Sus scrofa: one gene and its partner. The protein of the gene in region 1 purifies or fractionates together with the protein of each later gene. This does not show direct contact. Links are inferred from orthologs where the notes say so. Each region holds a gene or a part of one and is shown in the gene's direction. Other genes may lie near its edges. The genes, in order: ATP1A1 and HADHB.

The links.
Region 2: the proteins of ATP1A1 (region 1) and HADHB fractionate together in Homo sapiens (co-fractionation; 3 studies listed by BioGRID, with this or other methods). This does not show direct contact. The link is inferred for Sus scrofa from reciprocal best matches to the Homo sapiens genes ATP1A1 and HADHB.

The regions. Positions count from the first base shown.
Region 1 is NC_010446.5:104,378,281-104,386,272, reverse strand, and holds the start of ATP1A1 (sodium/potassium-transporting ATPase subunit alpha-1), read left to right. Parts: upstream 1-2,756; 5' UTR 2,757-2,763; coding exon 2,764-2,775; intron 2,776-7,992. Other genes in the region: proline-rich protein 18-like, read right to left, coding at 1,271-1,823. UniProt on the Homo sapiens protein: This is the catalytic component of the active enzyme, which catalyzes the hydrolysis of ATP coupled with the exchange of sodium and potassium ions across the plasma membrane.
Region 2 is NC_010445.4:112,747,838-112,755,929, reverse strand, and holds the start of HADHB (trifunctional enzyme subunit beta, mitochondrial), read left to right. Parts: upstream 1-2,808; 5' UTR 2,809-2,937; intron 2,938-8,092. Other genes in the region: HADHA (trifunctional enzyme subunit alpha, mitochondrial), read right to left, coding at 2,466-2,532. UniProt on the Homo sapiens protein: Mitochondrial trifunctional enzyme catalyzes the last three of the four reactions of the mitochondrial beta-oxidation pathway.

The DNA.
Region 1 (7,992 bases):
AGAGATCTTTAGCAAGGAAAAGCCTCCTACAGGTTAGCAGTAATGGGGGATGCCAATACAGCATTTTCTAGACCCTTGGAGACAGAGCCCTGATCACGCTCCATAAATTCCTTCTGTTGAATTAGCGGCATTGGGAACCCTGTTCTGGATGTGGGGGCTCTTTTCTCCAGCAGTCATGAATTTGAATTCCGTTTACAATGCCTTTGCTCTTCAGGGTCTGCACTGATTTAACCAAGCCTGAAGATGGAGGAGGCACCAGTTCTTGACAATGCATTCTTGGGCAAAGGGAAAGAGACTCATGGAAGAAACAGTTTCTTCTAAGGAGCAAGACTTACCCTCATGGTCTAACTGATAGCACAGTTGCTAGTTTTCCCTCCTTTGTTTTTCATTCTTCCTTCCCTCCTCCATTTCTTTCAAGCTTCACACCTTTATTTATTCATGTTAAATTAATACTTGATGTCGACAGGACTAGTTTTAACTTGCTTAGGAAGTGAATGTTTTCTGTGTTTCTTGTTGGAATTCCCAGAGATATGGAGTGATTTTCTCCTGCAAATCTTGTGCTTTCCCAGAGTATGCCTGACTTCCTGAAAACATTGTTAATAATACTTTGTTTTTTAACTGTTGGAGACCTCCAGCCACTGCAGCCTCTGCAGAAGCTGTAGTGGGAGGAAAGCGGCTCAGCAGAGCCTGGCTAGGGCTCTTGGGCGGGTGGTCCTGGGCCCGTCACCACACTGCAGGCGCAGGTCCCTCACAGCACCCACTCCTAGGCAGAAAGAGGTCCTGCTATGTCAGAGGGCAGGCAAGGAGAGGCGTGAGACAGGCCCACTAATAGTCCCTCTCCAAGGATCCCCTTTTGCTAAAGATATTGGGCTTCAAGTATTCCTTCTCTCAAAAGCGAACCCCCAATCTGGACAAACAACTTTCATTCACACAGTGGCATGAATGAATTCACTGCAGGCCCTTTGGATTGACATTTGGGGGTCTTGAAGGCGGCGGCGGCGGCGGCGGCGGCGGGGGGGGGGGTCTTGGGACCTCTGGCAAAGCCAGCTCAAGCCCTATGGGTTGTGGATAACGGAGACCCCAAGACCAGAGAAGGCATTCAGAGGGGCACCAAAGGACTGGCTGGGAAGGCCATCCGCAGGTGGACGCGGGGCCTGGACTCCGCAGGAAGGCGGAGTCCCTCCTGCGGGCGCTGGCTGCAGGCACACCCAACCCCCACCCCCCCATCCCCGCGCTTCCCTTAGTCCCAGAGGAGCTCCCGGATACCCACAGATGCTCCAGCGCGTGGTTTCTGTCCCAGGTCCACGGAGATTCGGGGGCCCAGTTCTGCGGACGTCCCCGCACCCACTGCGGACCTTGCGTGCCCTCCAAAGCAGGCGGGTCACGCAGGGAGGCAGGAGGAGGGACGCGAGAGCTGCAGGGCCGCCGAGTCCCCGCTGCCCAGCGAGTCGCCGCGCCCCGCAGTGGCGCAGCCGCCGCCTCTCGGGACTTGGGCACGCGCGCCCCAGGCCCCGGCGCCCTCCTGCCGGGAGCCCCGACCGGCCGCAGCCGGCGCGGCCCCGGGCCTGCGGGGGTGGGGTTTGAAGCGGGGGCGGAGTCAGGCCCGCGGCCGGTGTCAGGTTGCTCCGGTAACGGTGACGTGCCGCGGCGTGGGCGGGGCCAGCACGCAGGTTGCATATTTTAGGAAGTGAGGAGGAGGCGCGGGCTTGAGCTGCGGCGGGGTCTGGGGCGCAGAGCAGCGGCGGGAGGAGGCGGACACGTGGCAGCAGCAGCGGTAGCAGCCCCGGCGGCGGCGGCGGCGGCGGCGGCAGCAGCAGTGGCATCGGCCCGAGCCGCCGGCCGTCTTCCCTCCTTCCCGCCCCGCAGCAGCCCTAGCTCCCTCCTCTCCGCTCCCCCGGCCGCTCTTGCTTGGCCGGGAGCCGCTCTCTTTTCTCTCTGATTCTCAAGCAACAGGACCCGGCGCGGGACACAGACCACCGCCACTATGGGGAAGGGGGTGAGTGTCCAGCGAGCCTGGGGAGGGGTGCGGGGAGCCCTGGAGGGGAGGAGGAGGAAGAGGAGGAAGTCAGGAGGGCGACCGCAGCCAGCGGGAGGCGGAGGAGGAGGAAGCGGCGCGGCGCGGAATGGGTTGGCAGAGCAGAGAGGCTTAAAAGACGACGCACTTTGGAAATGGAGGGAGCGCTGTAATGAGGGGCGGGCGGGGGAAGGGAGAGCCGAGGGCCCGGAGCGGGGCAGCCCCAGGCGGTGCGCAGAGCCTGGAGAAGGACTGCGGGCCCCCGAGCCCGAACGCGTCGCGGGCCCTGGGCTCCTGGAGGCGGCGCTCGGGAGTCGCAGGCCCCGGAGGCAGAGGAAGGACAGCCGCTGGGCCTCCCCGGCTAGGAGCGGGCTGCCGGCGGCATCCCCAACCCGCTCCCTCCCTCCTCCCTTCCCTCCCTCCGCCCGCCCTCACCTCCCGTCTCTCGCCTTCCTTTTTCCCTCCGCCCTCCGTGCCCCGAGGAAAGGCGTGCTCCTCCCCTTCCCCTGGGGCGCTCTACCCGGCCCCTTCCCGGGCTGTAGTTCCCGCCGCGGCTCCGGCCTGGGCGATGGGGGTCTTCCGATGCGGGGGCGGCCTTAGGGTCCCAGGCTTTTTCTCCTGGAGGCGCCAGGGCTTAGCCAGTTGCCCGGAGAGGTGGCCGCCCTTCCCCAAAGGAAAAAACTGGCTTCCCCTTACTGCGGAGCCGGTCTGGCGGGCTGGTGCCAGAAAGGGTGTGTCTTCGCCCTAAGATGGCCTTTAAGGTATACTTTTGAGAGCTTTAATGGGCCCCTTTCCATTAAACACAGGATGCTCCCGGGAGGCAGCTGGAGCCACTGGTGTGGTCATCTTGAGGGTGGGGAGGGTATGTGTAAGTTTTTTAGAGCGATGAGGCAGGAAGGAGCACAAGCAGATCCACCCGGGCCTCCGGGTACAATAAACCCGAAAAAGAACGGGAGGCGGGGCAACGCGGTGGGAGCGCCCACCCGCGGAAGAGGGGTCGGAAGCAACGAGGGGTCCCCCGGGCCGGAGGAGCGGGCGCTCTGGGGATACCAGAACAACGGCTTGTTCCTGCATTTCTATAACTCGGGGCTGAGATAACCCGTAACCACAGCAGGAGACTAGGTCCTGGACTCCAGTGGGGCCAAGAGTGCTGTTGAGAAAAGTTTATACAAAATAACAGAAGAAAAAATGAGATAAAATGACCAGGTCATGAGAATACTAGTGGGAGAGCATCTGCTCCATTGTGTCCAGAGCCTGCACAGTCCCCGGCCCGTAGTAGGTCTTTGAAGGTTGGGCAGGCTCCTGGGTGTGGAGTGAGCGATGGGCAGAGAAGGAGGGTGCATTCTCTGGAAATGCCAAGTGGATTTTGAAGGAGGTCATTGAAAGGTTTGAACCTGGTAGTAAGGAAGAGTGGGAATGCACAACTTGTATCTTTTAAAAGCACCAAAGTGGAGGGCTGGCTCAGGTCAAGTAGCTGAAGGCAAGAGCTGAGTGCTAGCCTCTATACTGCCCACGGTGGAAACTGAGTTCGTGACTGTACTTGAACCACTCCATCAAATCCTAGGGCATTCCAGTAAACGAGCTCCTTAAAGCTCATTTCTGTATCTCTATCCCCTCAAAAAAAAAAAAAAACCCAGAAAAAAATCATGTTTTCTGAGCCACCTTACTGGTTTGGGGGAGCTGGAGAAATGGTAGATATGTCACCAAGGCCTAGGAAGGTGAAGTGCTTTGCTCAAGGTCAAATGGTTGGTTAGTGACACACCAGTCCCTGATTCCTCCCCGGCCTAAATACTCATTCCCTCCTTAACGTTGCCTTATACATGCAGAATTCTAAAGTTATTTTTCAGATGAAACTGGGGTGTTCGTGATGCTGAATTAATGGACCAGATGTTTGAGTAACTGGATTATATCCATAGACCTATATTTCCTTTTCATAACGGCGCACAGGCCCGGGAGTGGGAAAGAGAGCAACATGCCTGGGTTGTGGAGGTTTAAGCAGTTTCATCTTACGGATCCTCATCAAATGGCTAGTGGCTAGCAAACACAAAATTGAATTGTAATTGGTGAACGCAGGCTGATGTGCTGCTTAGCTGCTGGGTGGTTCGTATTTGGGGAACTCTCACAGATTGAGCATTAGGGGGTGGCTGTGTGTGTGTGTGTCTTTGTGTGTGGTGGTGGTGGTGGTGGTGGTGGTGATTCTCCTGGGATAAAGTTAACCTTTTTGTCCCCAATGACTTACCGTGATAGTCCAAATGTTCAGGATATTTTATGCTGAAATGTTGGGATTTTTCCACATGGGGATTAAAATGTGGGTGGAGTGGTGACTAAAGCCCTGCTGATAATTGGTTAACCAGGAAGCCTGTGCTGGCAGCTAATTTTTAAGGTCATTGTTAATTTCTTCCCCTCCTCTTCCCACTGCTGTTGGGGGCCTAGGTTTTGAGGAGATTGCAGGTGATTTTATATCTCCTTCCAAAGCCACTGCCCAAGCTTTTGGTAAGAAAACGAAAGAACAGCTCCTGCTGAATCATTCCTGGGTGAAGGAGGATTGGGTCCTTTTTTTCGTGCGGGGTGTCTTGCCAGTGCCTTGGCTTAAATCCGCAGCCAGGCCTACCACCCACAACCCGTTAGCTCACCAAAGGTACCCAAGAAACTTGCCTTTTTGCTCAAGTGTACAAAGGGGTGGGGGTTTCACTGCGATTCTCCATTGTGTGAATATTAACTTAGTTACCTAGAAATCACAGCTTATGGGGAGAGATTTGAAGAGGAGCCTGGGGGGAAAAAGGTTCGGGTGAAGGTTGCACAAGGGATACCCATGTCAGCAGAAATCCTGGTTGTATGGTAACATTATCAGCTGCCCTTTTGGAGCTCAACTTGAAAGTGTGGCTAAATCTCCTCTGGCTGCTATAAAGCCAGTACTTTAGACTGAAAACATTGTAAGGCAGAGTCCTCACAGTGGAAGGTTGCCCAGGCCAGGGCCCCCAGCTAGTGGAGCGGCTATGGGAGGAGCTGGTGACTAGCCCTGGGGATAGAGAAAGAAGGTCGAGGTTGCATCACACCCTCGGCCTGTTAAATGTTGAGATGTGAATGTTTGTTCCTCTCGCTGCCGCCCCCCCACCCCACCTTTGCTGTACCCTGTTCTGAGGGTGTATTCTTTTAGGGTAACTTTCTGTTTGTTAATTTGTAGTGTTCTCTGCCAGTAAGTTTGTAACACTCTGGTGACTCACCTTTGGGTAGGAGGGTGGGGAAGGGGAGGCTCGCATCCCCAGTCAGAGAGATGGAGAGGAGGCTAAATCTGACAGCCCCACCCCTTCCCCACCAAAAAAATAAAAGGCCAGGTTTAAAAAAACAAAACAAAACCACACAGTTAAATGTTTATTCGGGTAAGGGCTAAAACTTGAAATATCCAGACCCCTGGAAGTGTTAATTCCTCCATTGCATTTTAAACTAAAAGAGTGAAGGCAACATTTCAAAGTACGATAAACTTGGTACCCATCCATTCTCCATCCCAGAACCCTTCTAAAGCATTGTTTTCTGATTATTTTAGCAACAGATTAACAGGTAAGTGACTCTGTGCTTTCAGGCTGTGTTCTTTTACACTGTATATCCACACTTAAGAATGAAAGAGGCTTTAGGGAATATAGTTTTCGAAGGATTTTGTATGGAAAAGTAAGCTAAGTGCGTTTCTTTAAAACAAAAATGTTGAGGGTTTGGTTTGGTTTGGTTTGGTTGCTTTTTTAAGCCCTGAAGCATCGGTTTCTCACCTGGCCCTTGGGTAGACTAATCACCAGAGTGGAGTCACCTTTGCTTTGTTTAGAGCGAGTGCAGGGCAGGTGTGAGTGGCTGGCAGCTCTTTGGGCCTTAGAAAGTATTTGGCACCAAGAGAAGAGCAAATCTTTATTAAACTGTGGGTTTGCTGTTCCTCAGTTCGTCTGAACGTAAGCCTTTTCAAAACTAGAAAACAGTCTTTCTTTCACCTGGAAAACATCCTGAGGATTGAAAAGAATGGGAAATGCTATGAATTACCCTCCAAGGGGAAGTTGCCTGGAAGTGTCACTGGACATGTCAGAGGTGCAATTGAATAGCGCCTTCGGTTTTGATCTACTTTCGCTTTTCAAATAAAAGACTTGACATTTTTAGAGTCTTTGTCAAAGTCTTGTGAAATACAACGGGAGGGGGGGAGGGTGTGCTTGGGCTTTCAGCCCTCGGTGATGGGCTGTGGTGCCTTCTAGCTGCCCAGGGCGCTCTGCCAGCCAGCAGGCCAGAAGAAGAAACACGAGTGTCAGATCAGATGGGCTCACAGTAATCAGAGTGGCTGCTTTGGGACAGCAAAACACTGGGCAGAATGTTTCCCCATCCGTGCCAGAGCTGTCCAGTTCTGGGTTCCGCTGAAATTGCATGTCCAGTAAGTGCTAATGTGAAGAACGGAGAATTGTAAAATCCACTCTCCCCCCCCCCCAACTCCCCTTCGGTTTTTATATTTTGGGAAAAGGAGACAGAACCGAGGCAGATTTGAACTTTCTCGCATTGCTCTGGATTGAGTGTGTGTGAGAGGAAGTGTGTTCTTTGGCTGGTGTCAGAGAGAGACTGTTCTTTGCATATGAGTCACCTCCTTCGTTGTGCTTAAATCTGTCGTCAGGAATCCACAAGGAGTTCTTCACATTTGTTTGACTGACGTTTGGGGCGGCAGATTTCTACCGTGAGAACAGAAGCACCCCAGACCCACCCTGCAGCTTTTCTGTCTGCTTTCCTTTGGGTCCTGAGCCAAGGGAATTTTGGCCAGTAGACCCTATTGCTTCGTTCCTTTGTGACTGACTCGACAGTGAATTATATCTGAACATTAATTTATCTCTGTATCTGGTTTTATTCAAACCCTGTTGAGTAACAGCTCTTAGATACTTGCTGTTGGTGATCTGAGGCATTGATCCCTGATGGCTCGGGCTTTTGTTTGGGGGGCCTGTATGGTTTGAGGGCTTGATCATCAGTGTGTTAAAGTTTGGGGATCAGTGGGACCTGATCTTTCCAGCTTGTCATCATGGGGAGGGCGAGGCCTCCTGTGTTTTCCTTCTGTCCTCCAGGTGATGCTTCCATGGTGCCGTATTTGTTTCATGGTTTCTCTGGGGCCTGTCATGGCCTTTATCCTCCTTCAGCCCTGCAGCTGTTTTACTTTGCACCCTAGGCCTCAGGGTACCAATTGAGGAGCGACCGAAACTTCTTGGAAATCGATTGGGTCCTGTTTTGAGGCTTGTGCTAGTTATTAATCTGTTGTATCTCAAACCAGCAACTTTGTTGTTCTTGATTCGTGACACCAAAGTGGTCTGGCGAAACCAAAAAAGGGGTGAGGAGGGCAGCAAATGGTGGGTGGACAGGTAAACATTTTAAGTCTTCATAACCCAGGTGGCTAATACAGATGTAGAGAAGCCCGTTGAAAAACAACAGGTTTTTTTTTGGTTTTTGGTTTCTTAAATAAGTGAAAAGACACCTTTTTTAAGAGGTAGTGAGTGTATAAAGTGTATTATTTAGATGTTTAAAAAAGTTTTTTGGGGAGTTCCTGTAGTGGCTCAGTGGTTAACGAATCCGACTAGGAACCATGAGGTTGCAGGTTCCATCCCTGGCCTTGCTCAGTGGGTTAAGGATCCAGCGTTGCCGTGAGCTGTGGTGTAGGTCACAGACGCGGCTCTGGATCCCGTGTTGCTGTGGCCCTGGTGTAGGCCGGCGGCTACAGCTCTGATTCGACCCCTAACCTAGGAACCTCCATATGCCGTGGGAGCGGCCCAAGAAAATGGCAAAAAAAAGACCCCCCAAAAAAAAAAGTTTTTTTGAATGATCATGGATGTGTATTAACAATTGCAGGTAGGGTGGGCTTGCAGTCTGGCTCATGAAGATTCCACATGCAGGGAGGAAGGTTAAGCCTTGTTCCTTTGGGGCTGAGGGAGCCCCCCTGGCCAGAGCTGGAGCTGTTTTCTTTGCCCCTGCTGGCT
Region 2 (8,092 bases), on another chromosome or scaffold:
TTAATTTATTTTTGCTTTTTTTTAGGGCCCCACCCCTTGGCATATGGAAGTTCCCAGGCCAGGGGTCAAATCAGAGCTATAGCTACTGGCCTACACCAGAGCAAGACCAGATCCAAGCTGAGTCTTCAACCTACACCACAGCTCACAGCGACACCACTAACTGATCGAGGCCATTCTTTTTTTTTTTTTTTTTTTTTTTTTTTTTTTTTTTTTTTTTTTTTTGGTCTTTTTGCTATTTCTTTGGGCCGCTTCCGTGGCATGTGGAGGTTCCCAGGCTAGGGGTCTAATCGGAGCTGTAGCCACCGGCCTACGCCAGAGCCACAGCAACGCAGGATCCGAGCCGCGTCTGCAACCTACACCACAGCTCACAGCAACGCCGGATCGTTAACCCACTGAGCAAGGGCAGGGACCGAACCTGCAACCTCATGTTTCCTAGTCGGATTCGTTAACCACTTCGCCACGACGGGAACTCCCAGTGGTAGCATTCTTGAGGACACAGGTTTGATCCCTGGCCTCGCTCAGTGGGTTACGGATCAAGCGTTGCTGTGAGCTGTGGTGTAGTTTGCAGACACGGCTCAGATATGGCATTTCTGTGGCTGTGGTGCAGGCGGGCAGCTACAGCTCTGATTCAGCCCCTAGCCTGGGAATTTCTGGATCCTTAACCCACTGAACGAGGCCAGGGATTGAAACCGAATCCTCATGGATACTAGTGTCCACTGAGTCACAACTGGAACTCCCTGGACTTTTTTCAAAAATCTATAAATTGCTACTAAAAGAGGCAATAACTATAATAAGCCATATTTTCTTTATTGGGGAAAGACCAATGCAAAATATATACACATGTGTATGTATATATACTTCTACACAAAAAAAATATAGAAGAACCAAGCTTGTAACTTTTTACTACACATGTAAAACAAACATTACTTTAAAAATTATCAGATATACATAAATCACAGTTCTTCAGGGCAAAAAAGTGTTAATAATAGCTAATGCTTATTAACATTAATAATAGCACTTACTTCATAGAAAAGCTGTTTTACACTTAAAACAATTCTTTTAAAGCTCAAAAGGTGGTATTATTCCTCATTTCACAAAGGAGAAAACAGAAATATACATTAATTGTCCAAGGTCATCAGGGGTAAGGTCACCAGAGAGGGTAAAAGACAAAGCCAGATTCAAACCCACAAGTCAAACTCCAAATTTAATGCTTTTAACTGAATTACCTTAAGAGCAATGGATGGGAAAGTTCAAAAATATATATTTGATATTTTTAAAATGTTAAATCAAAAATGTGGAAAACAGACAAATCAAACTGTCAGGTAACATGACCAAATGCTAACAGTAGGTATGTGAGTAGTAAGAGAATGGGTGATTCTTTTTCCTTAATCCCTTTCCCCACTCTTAACATTTCACCTTCTTGTAATATTATGAGTGGGAGTCACACACACACACACACACACACACAGAGTCCTGTGGAGCCTAAAAACAGTGGTTGAAATAAGAAAGCAGAAAAGAGTCAATCATTTAATCAATCCCTTACAGTAAAGGGAGATTCCAGGCACTAAAACAGCATACAGTACTACCCTAGTGGTTCAGAAGGAGGAAGGCATATTATAAATGAAATTACTAGTTAAGTAAGCAGAGTTAAATACAACATGCAATAAAAAAAATCACATTTCACCTTAAAGATTTGAGGTGGAAGGAAAATGCTTGATTTTCCACAATCATCCACTTTAATTCTTTCTCTTGCCAGTTTGAAGAGAAAAAGACAATATAGCTAATGAAAGCTACCTGGGTATTGTTAGAAACTAGGGTAGAAATAGTTGTTAAAATTATCTAACATTTTGTTCCTTAAGTATCTTCATGTTTAAAAAAAAAAAAAAGTTTTCTCCTTGCAAGTTGCAGGACCTCCCCTGAGAAAGTCAACGCATTATACTGGGTTCCTACTGGGATTATGGAACTGCAACAGGTGAGTTTCCTATTAAAGTGTGGTAATAGGTACAAAAAAAGGTTTTGAGGGAAAGGGTGTGGAAGTGGCAGTAATTTGAAAGGCTGGTTAATTTCATACAAGAAGGTTTTAAGATACCTCCTTTTACAGGCAAGGTGCTGTGGAGCCACAAAGATGTGACAGACTAGGCTGTCCTAGTCGTCCTGGACCTCTCCATCTAGTAGGGACAGGTTCAAGGCCATCATGAAGGGAAATACGGGGAGACCTGCGGAAGATGCCAGACCCAGTGGATGGAACTCAGAAACGTCAGCGGTTACGGAGTCTGAAATCGCCGCAGGACTTGAGAGAAAATATCAGTCCCTGCGCCAGTAAACAACAAGACACTGGGTCCCACAGCAGCAACCCTCTCCCTCATCCAACGCTGGCTTCCTGAGCCAGGAGATGCAGGCAGCGCTGCGGCGATAAAGTCCAGGTCTCTGGCCAGGACCGTAGGTTGCCCTCAAGCAGGCCTCACCTGGGCAGCGGAGCGTCTGGGAGGCAGTGAAGCGACGGAGGCTGCCTATTGCCCGGGAGGCGACCATCTTGAGCAGGAGAGGACGAAACTGGAAAGTTGCTGGAGCTGGTGGCAGCCAGAGGACTTTTCTTCCCGCCGGCTGCCCCTGGCCAGGCGTCCGACGTACTGCCTGACTGAAACCCCGGTGACGAATTGCCGCTGGCCCCTTAACCTTGCCCTTGGCTTCCGGCTAACGGGACGAAAAGGACACTTTCTCCGCCGGAAGGAAGAAGACCCTGGGAGGAGGGGGCAGAGTTACATTTTTTTCAGTCAGGCAGCCGGAGGGCAGCCCGGGAGGCCGGCGTGGCTCGCGGAGCCAGCGGGCCGGGTGAGGGGTCCTTCCTAGGCAGGACCTGTCTTTTGGTCCCCGACGGGTCCTGTCACTTGAGTCCGAAGCTTTCCCGAAGCAGGTGCCTGAGCGACGCGAACTAAGGTGAGAAGGAGCGTGCGCTCGGCTCTCCGCCTGGCCTTGCCCCCCGGCTCCGTCCGCGCTTCCTTTCCCACCTTCTACCCCAGGGCCCGCGGCCGCCTCCTCCATGGGGGAGTGGAGTTCGAGGGGACGGAAGGAAGCGTCTCAGTGGAGTCTCCCGTACCGGTGCAGTTTCGTCAGTAATTTGGCTTCGCGTTGTCGTAGCTCTGAGCAGCGGTGTCCCCTGGCTCGTTTAATTTGTCATCACAAGTTAACAAACTGTTGATTTGTGTGCGTGTTAGTTTAAAACGCTGGCCCGTGTTCCACTGTTGTTTCATGCGCTTTGCCTGTAGTCAGGTCGACTACAGAGATTCGGCTGGAGCCAGAGGATACCTCTTTTATGCTGCTGGGAGTGGGACTCTGTCTCATGGCTTTTGGGGACTCAAGTTGGGAGGAGCTGAGACATTGCCGTGCCCTGCTCTGAGATCCAGTGCTCAAGATTATTTTCTCATCCAGAAGGGACCTGAAGATCATCTAGTCATTTATCCCCTTCACTCTATCGGTGAAGCCCATGAATCAGAGTGGCTACAGTTGGTAGAAATAGGACTAGAGCCTACATTTACTAACTTCTAGTCAAGAACTCTGCAGTGCATGATTGCTGTTTTTGTGCTGGAAAAATAGTCTGGAGTCCTGGAATCCGGCGATTGATTCCAAAAAAGGGGACCTCGTAGGCCCTTTCGCTGCCATCTCATTGAATCTTCATATCCCAAAATTGTAGTTTGCATTTTGTAAGTGGAGTTTAGGGGCTCAGAGATTATGTCAACTTTCTGGTAGCTGGCAAAGCCAAGAATGAGACATAAATTTGAGTCTCACCGCTCACCAGATTGACTGTTCAAGAGGCAGAGAAGAGGCCGGGGGAAATGGCAAGGAAGTTGAGACTGAAATGAGGAGTATGGAAAGAAAGAAGAAAAGGTTTCTGTTTAAAGCTCAAGTCATATAGTGAGTCCTCCATCACTGTGATCATGTTAAGCAGAAACTGGATGACCAGTGATCTCTTAATTAGTAAAAGGAATTCTTGATGACCTCCCAAAGCCCTCCAACTCATAAGGCTTTTACAGTTCAAAGCTGCCTCCTCCCTCATAATGCTCTTGCGGCCTCTAATTTAGTGTAGCATTTATTGTTTAGATCAGCAGTGGCAAACTTTTTTCTGTAAAGGGCCAGAGAGTAAATAGTTTAGGCTTTACAATCCACATCCATCTCTGTCATATATTCTTTCATTTGTTTTGCTCGCCAACTCTTTAAAATTGTAGAAACGGTTATTAGCTAGAGGCCCTGGGGTTGTAGTTTGCCAGCGCCTGATTTAGATCACTCTTTTGGCTCTTGAATTTTGGTTCCCTGTATTCTCAACAAGAGCCTAAGCTCCATCAAGGGCAGAAACAGCTCCTTCTCACTGTGGTTTACAGAAAGAGGAACTCAGTGTGTTTATACCATCGCCCACTAATGTTAATAGCAAACGCGTGTATAACCCGTACTGTGCATCAGGCACTGTACCGAGTGCTTTATGTATTTATTGATTTAGTTATTCTTCATGACAACCCTATGAGTTGTAGGCACTTTAATTATCTACAGTTTATAGGTGTATCTTACCGATGAATTATCTACATTTTACTCTTAAAACCGAGAAAGAAAATGGCCTTTGGAGGTCATCAAGAATCCTTTTTGCAAGTTGAGTTACTTGTTTAAGGTCATAACAACTAGGGTAGAGCCAGGATTTGGATTAGATGGTCTGCCTTTAGTGTGTGTGCTCTTAAGGACATGGTAGATTGTGTCTTAATGAGCTGTTAGAGCCAGTCCATCTTGCTTTCATTACTTGTTTACCTCATGGATCTTTCCATAGTTTCACAACCTACTCAAGCCTGGCATGCTCTCCAAATACTTGAGTCAAAATATATTTCCTAAAGCTTAAAGCAAATGGCAGTAACTAAGTCAACTCTCCCGCAGGCTATTTTGCTTAGTTCTTTCTTTTGAAACCTCGCTCTACTTTTTATTAATTATTGAGGGAATATATATTCTATTTAATTTTTTTCAAAAACTTCAGATAAATCTAAAGAAAATAAATACACCAATAACTCCACCACCCAGAGCTAACTGCTATTAACATTTGCTGTGTATTTTTCTGGACATTTTTTAGGCATTTGTATACTTTTACCTGTAAGATATTACATGCAAATTTTCCTAAAGCTAGATTTATACCATACATTAAAAAGAAAATGTTCATTGTAAAAAATTTAAGAAGACAGAAGAATATAAAATACTAGAGTTCTCTTGTGGCACAGTGGGTTGAGGATCCAGTGTTGTCACTGCAGCTGCTTGGGTCACTGCTGAAGCATGGGTTCAATCCCTGGCCCAGAAACTTCCATGTGCCAGGAGTGTGACCCTCCCCCAAAAGAATATAAAGTGAAAGCCCCTCTTTATCTCAGCTTCATGGATTTTCATCTCTCTTTCTGTCATAAAATGGAGTTTTACTATATGTATTGTTCTGCAGCTTGCTTTTTCATTTAATATATGTTGTGGACATCTTTCCATTCCGTATATACATGTATCATTACGTTTCAATTTTCTTTACAAATTACTGAACATGGATGGAATGTTTGCTGTTTTCTACTATGTGTGTTTACATCCTTAATATTTGTATTGGCTAGAGATCTATGATTGCTGTATATACACCTTGAATATTTCTATTGCTTAAAGACCAATAAGAAGAATTACTAGGCTCAAAAATTACAGTTCAGGAGTTCTCACTGTAGCACAGTACGTTAGGAATCTGACTGCAGTGGCTTGGGTTGCTGCAGAGGCTCGGGTTCAATCCCTGGCCCAGGAACTTCCATGTGCCGTAGGTGTGGCCATAAAAAAAGAAATAAATTCACAAATCAAAATCTGAGAGATAACTAAAAATTGCCTTCTGAAAAGGCCTTAGCAATTACACCTCTATGTGGAAGGGCCTAAATAGATCTACTCTTGCTAGAATTATATATTAACCAATTTTTAATTCTTGCCAATCTGATAACCCCCAAATGATACTTTATTTATTTATTTATTTATTTTTTTGTCTTTTTGCCATTTCTTGGGCCGCTCCCATGGCATGTGGAGTTTCCCAGGCTAGGGGTCGAATCGGAGCTGTAGCTGCCAGCCTATGCCAGAGCTACAGCAACGCGGGATCCGAGCCGCGTCTGCAACCTACACCACAGCTCACGGCAACGTCGGATCATTAACCCACTGAGCAAGGGCAGGGACCGAACCCGCAACCTCATGGTTCCAAGTCGGATTCGTTAACCACTGCACTACGACGGGAACTCCTGATGCTTTATTTTAATTAAAAATCTTTTGTTAGTGAGGTTGAACATTTAAATTTTTGTTTATTGGACATTTTTATTTCTTCTGTGAATTGCTCATTTGCTCATTTTTCCTTTTGGTCCTGTTTCAGGAAGGAGCCTTTCAGTCGCAAATAACAGAAACTGCAACTGAAATTGGTTTAATAAAGGGGATTTATTTTCTTATGGAACAGAAATGCATAATGGGAGAGTGGGTTTCAGATATGATTCAATCAGGGCTCTGGATTCTTTTTCTGAATTCTCAGCTCTGTCCTCCTTTGAGACCAGCTCTTGCCTTAAAACTAGTTTTTATCATGTTTGCAACTTGTAGCCATGCCAAGTTTCAGAAGGAGAGAAGATTTGTGTTTCAGAATTCCAGGCAGAAGACTTGAATGTCGTACTGACTAGACTATCCCTGAATTGATACTAGTGGGCAAGGCAATACCATATATGAGTATTTGAGGCCTTGGTTTCCTGAACCAATAATCTTAGCAAGGAGAATGAGATTATTCTGATTGATTTAAACCCCAGAGTTGAGCTAGATTCAATCCCGTGTAGACCACATGTGGCAGCTACGTAATGGGGTGAAATGGATAATGGGGCTGAAAAACCACAGATTCCATTACAGATTGTTCCTCTTTTTCCTGTAATTTGTATAAAATCTTTATGGATTATGGTATTAACCCTTCGTTTTTCGTGTTGTTAAGTATTTTTTCTGAATCCGTTGTTTGCCTTTTAACTTTATTTTATTATGTTTTGCTGTGAAGATACTTTATTTATTTATTATTTATTTATTTATTTTCTTTTTAAGTCCCCACGTGTGGTATATGGAGGTTCCCAGACTAGAGGTCGAATCAGAGTTGCAGCTGCCAGCCTACGCCACAGCCACAGCAACGTGGGATCTGAGCTGCATCTGCAACCTACACCACGGATCATGGCAATGCCATATCCTTAACCCAATAAGGGAGGCCAGGGATCAAACCCACATCCTCATGAATACTATTCAGGTTCTTAAATTGTTGAGCCATGACTGGAACTCCTGTGAAGATACTTTAAATGTTTACTTAATCAGATCTTTTTTTTTCCCTTTATTTTGTCTTTTTAGGGCCGCACCTGTGGCGTATGGAGATTCCTAGGCGAGGGGTTGAATTGGAGCTACAGCTGCCAGCCTACACCACAGCCACAGCAACACAGGATCTGAGTCATGTCTGTGACCTACACCACAGCTCACGGCAATGCTGGATCCTTAACCCACTGAGGAAGGCCAGAGATCGAACCCATGTCCTCATGGATAATAGTTGGGTTCATTAACCACTGAGCCATGACGGGAACTCCTCTTGTAGTAAGTTAAAAAAATATATATATTTAGATTAATTCATCAGTAATTTGTACTTACAGTGTGAGGTATGGATCTAATTTTTCCCCAAGTGATTAGCCATTTCCCTGATTTCTTGACTATTTTCATGAATTTCATTTCAAGGTGAACTTTACTTATGGGGATTTATGTTCCAGACTCAAGTGGCATCAAATGTAGCTTCTGGAAAAGTGGTGTCCATCTCATGGGCCAATTTGTGACTCCTTGGCTAGAGTCCCTTGAATATTCTAATCTGATGAGCCTGGAGGTTGGACTTCTCCATCTTTTTCCAGTGGACATATTTGGCCAATGCGATGTTTTTTTTTTCTTTTTGGAAACCACAGGGCATCTCTCTTTAGTCTGTGAAGACCTAAGAGAGGTTAAACAAGGCTTTTATATTAGTTATTGCTGTGTAATGAATTACTCCAAAATGTAGCACCTTAAAACAATAAAA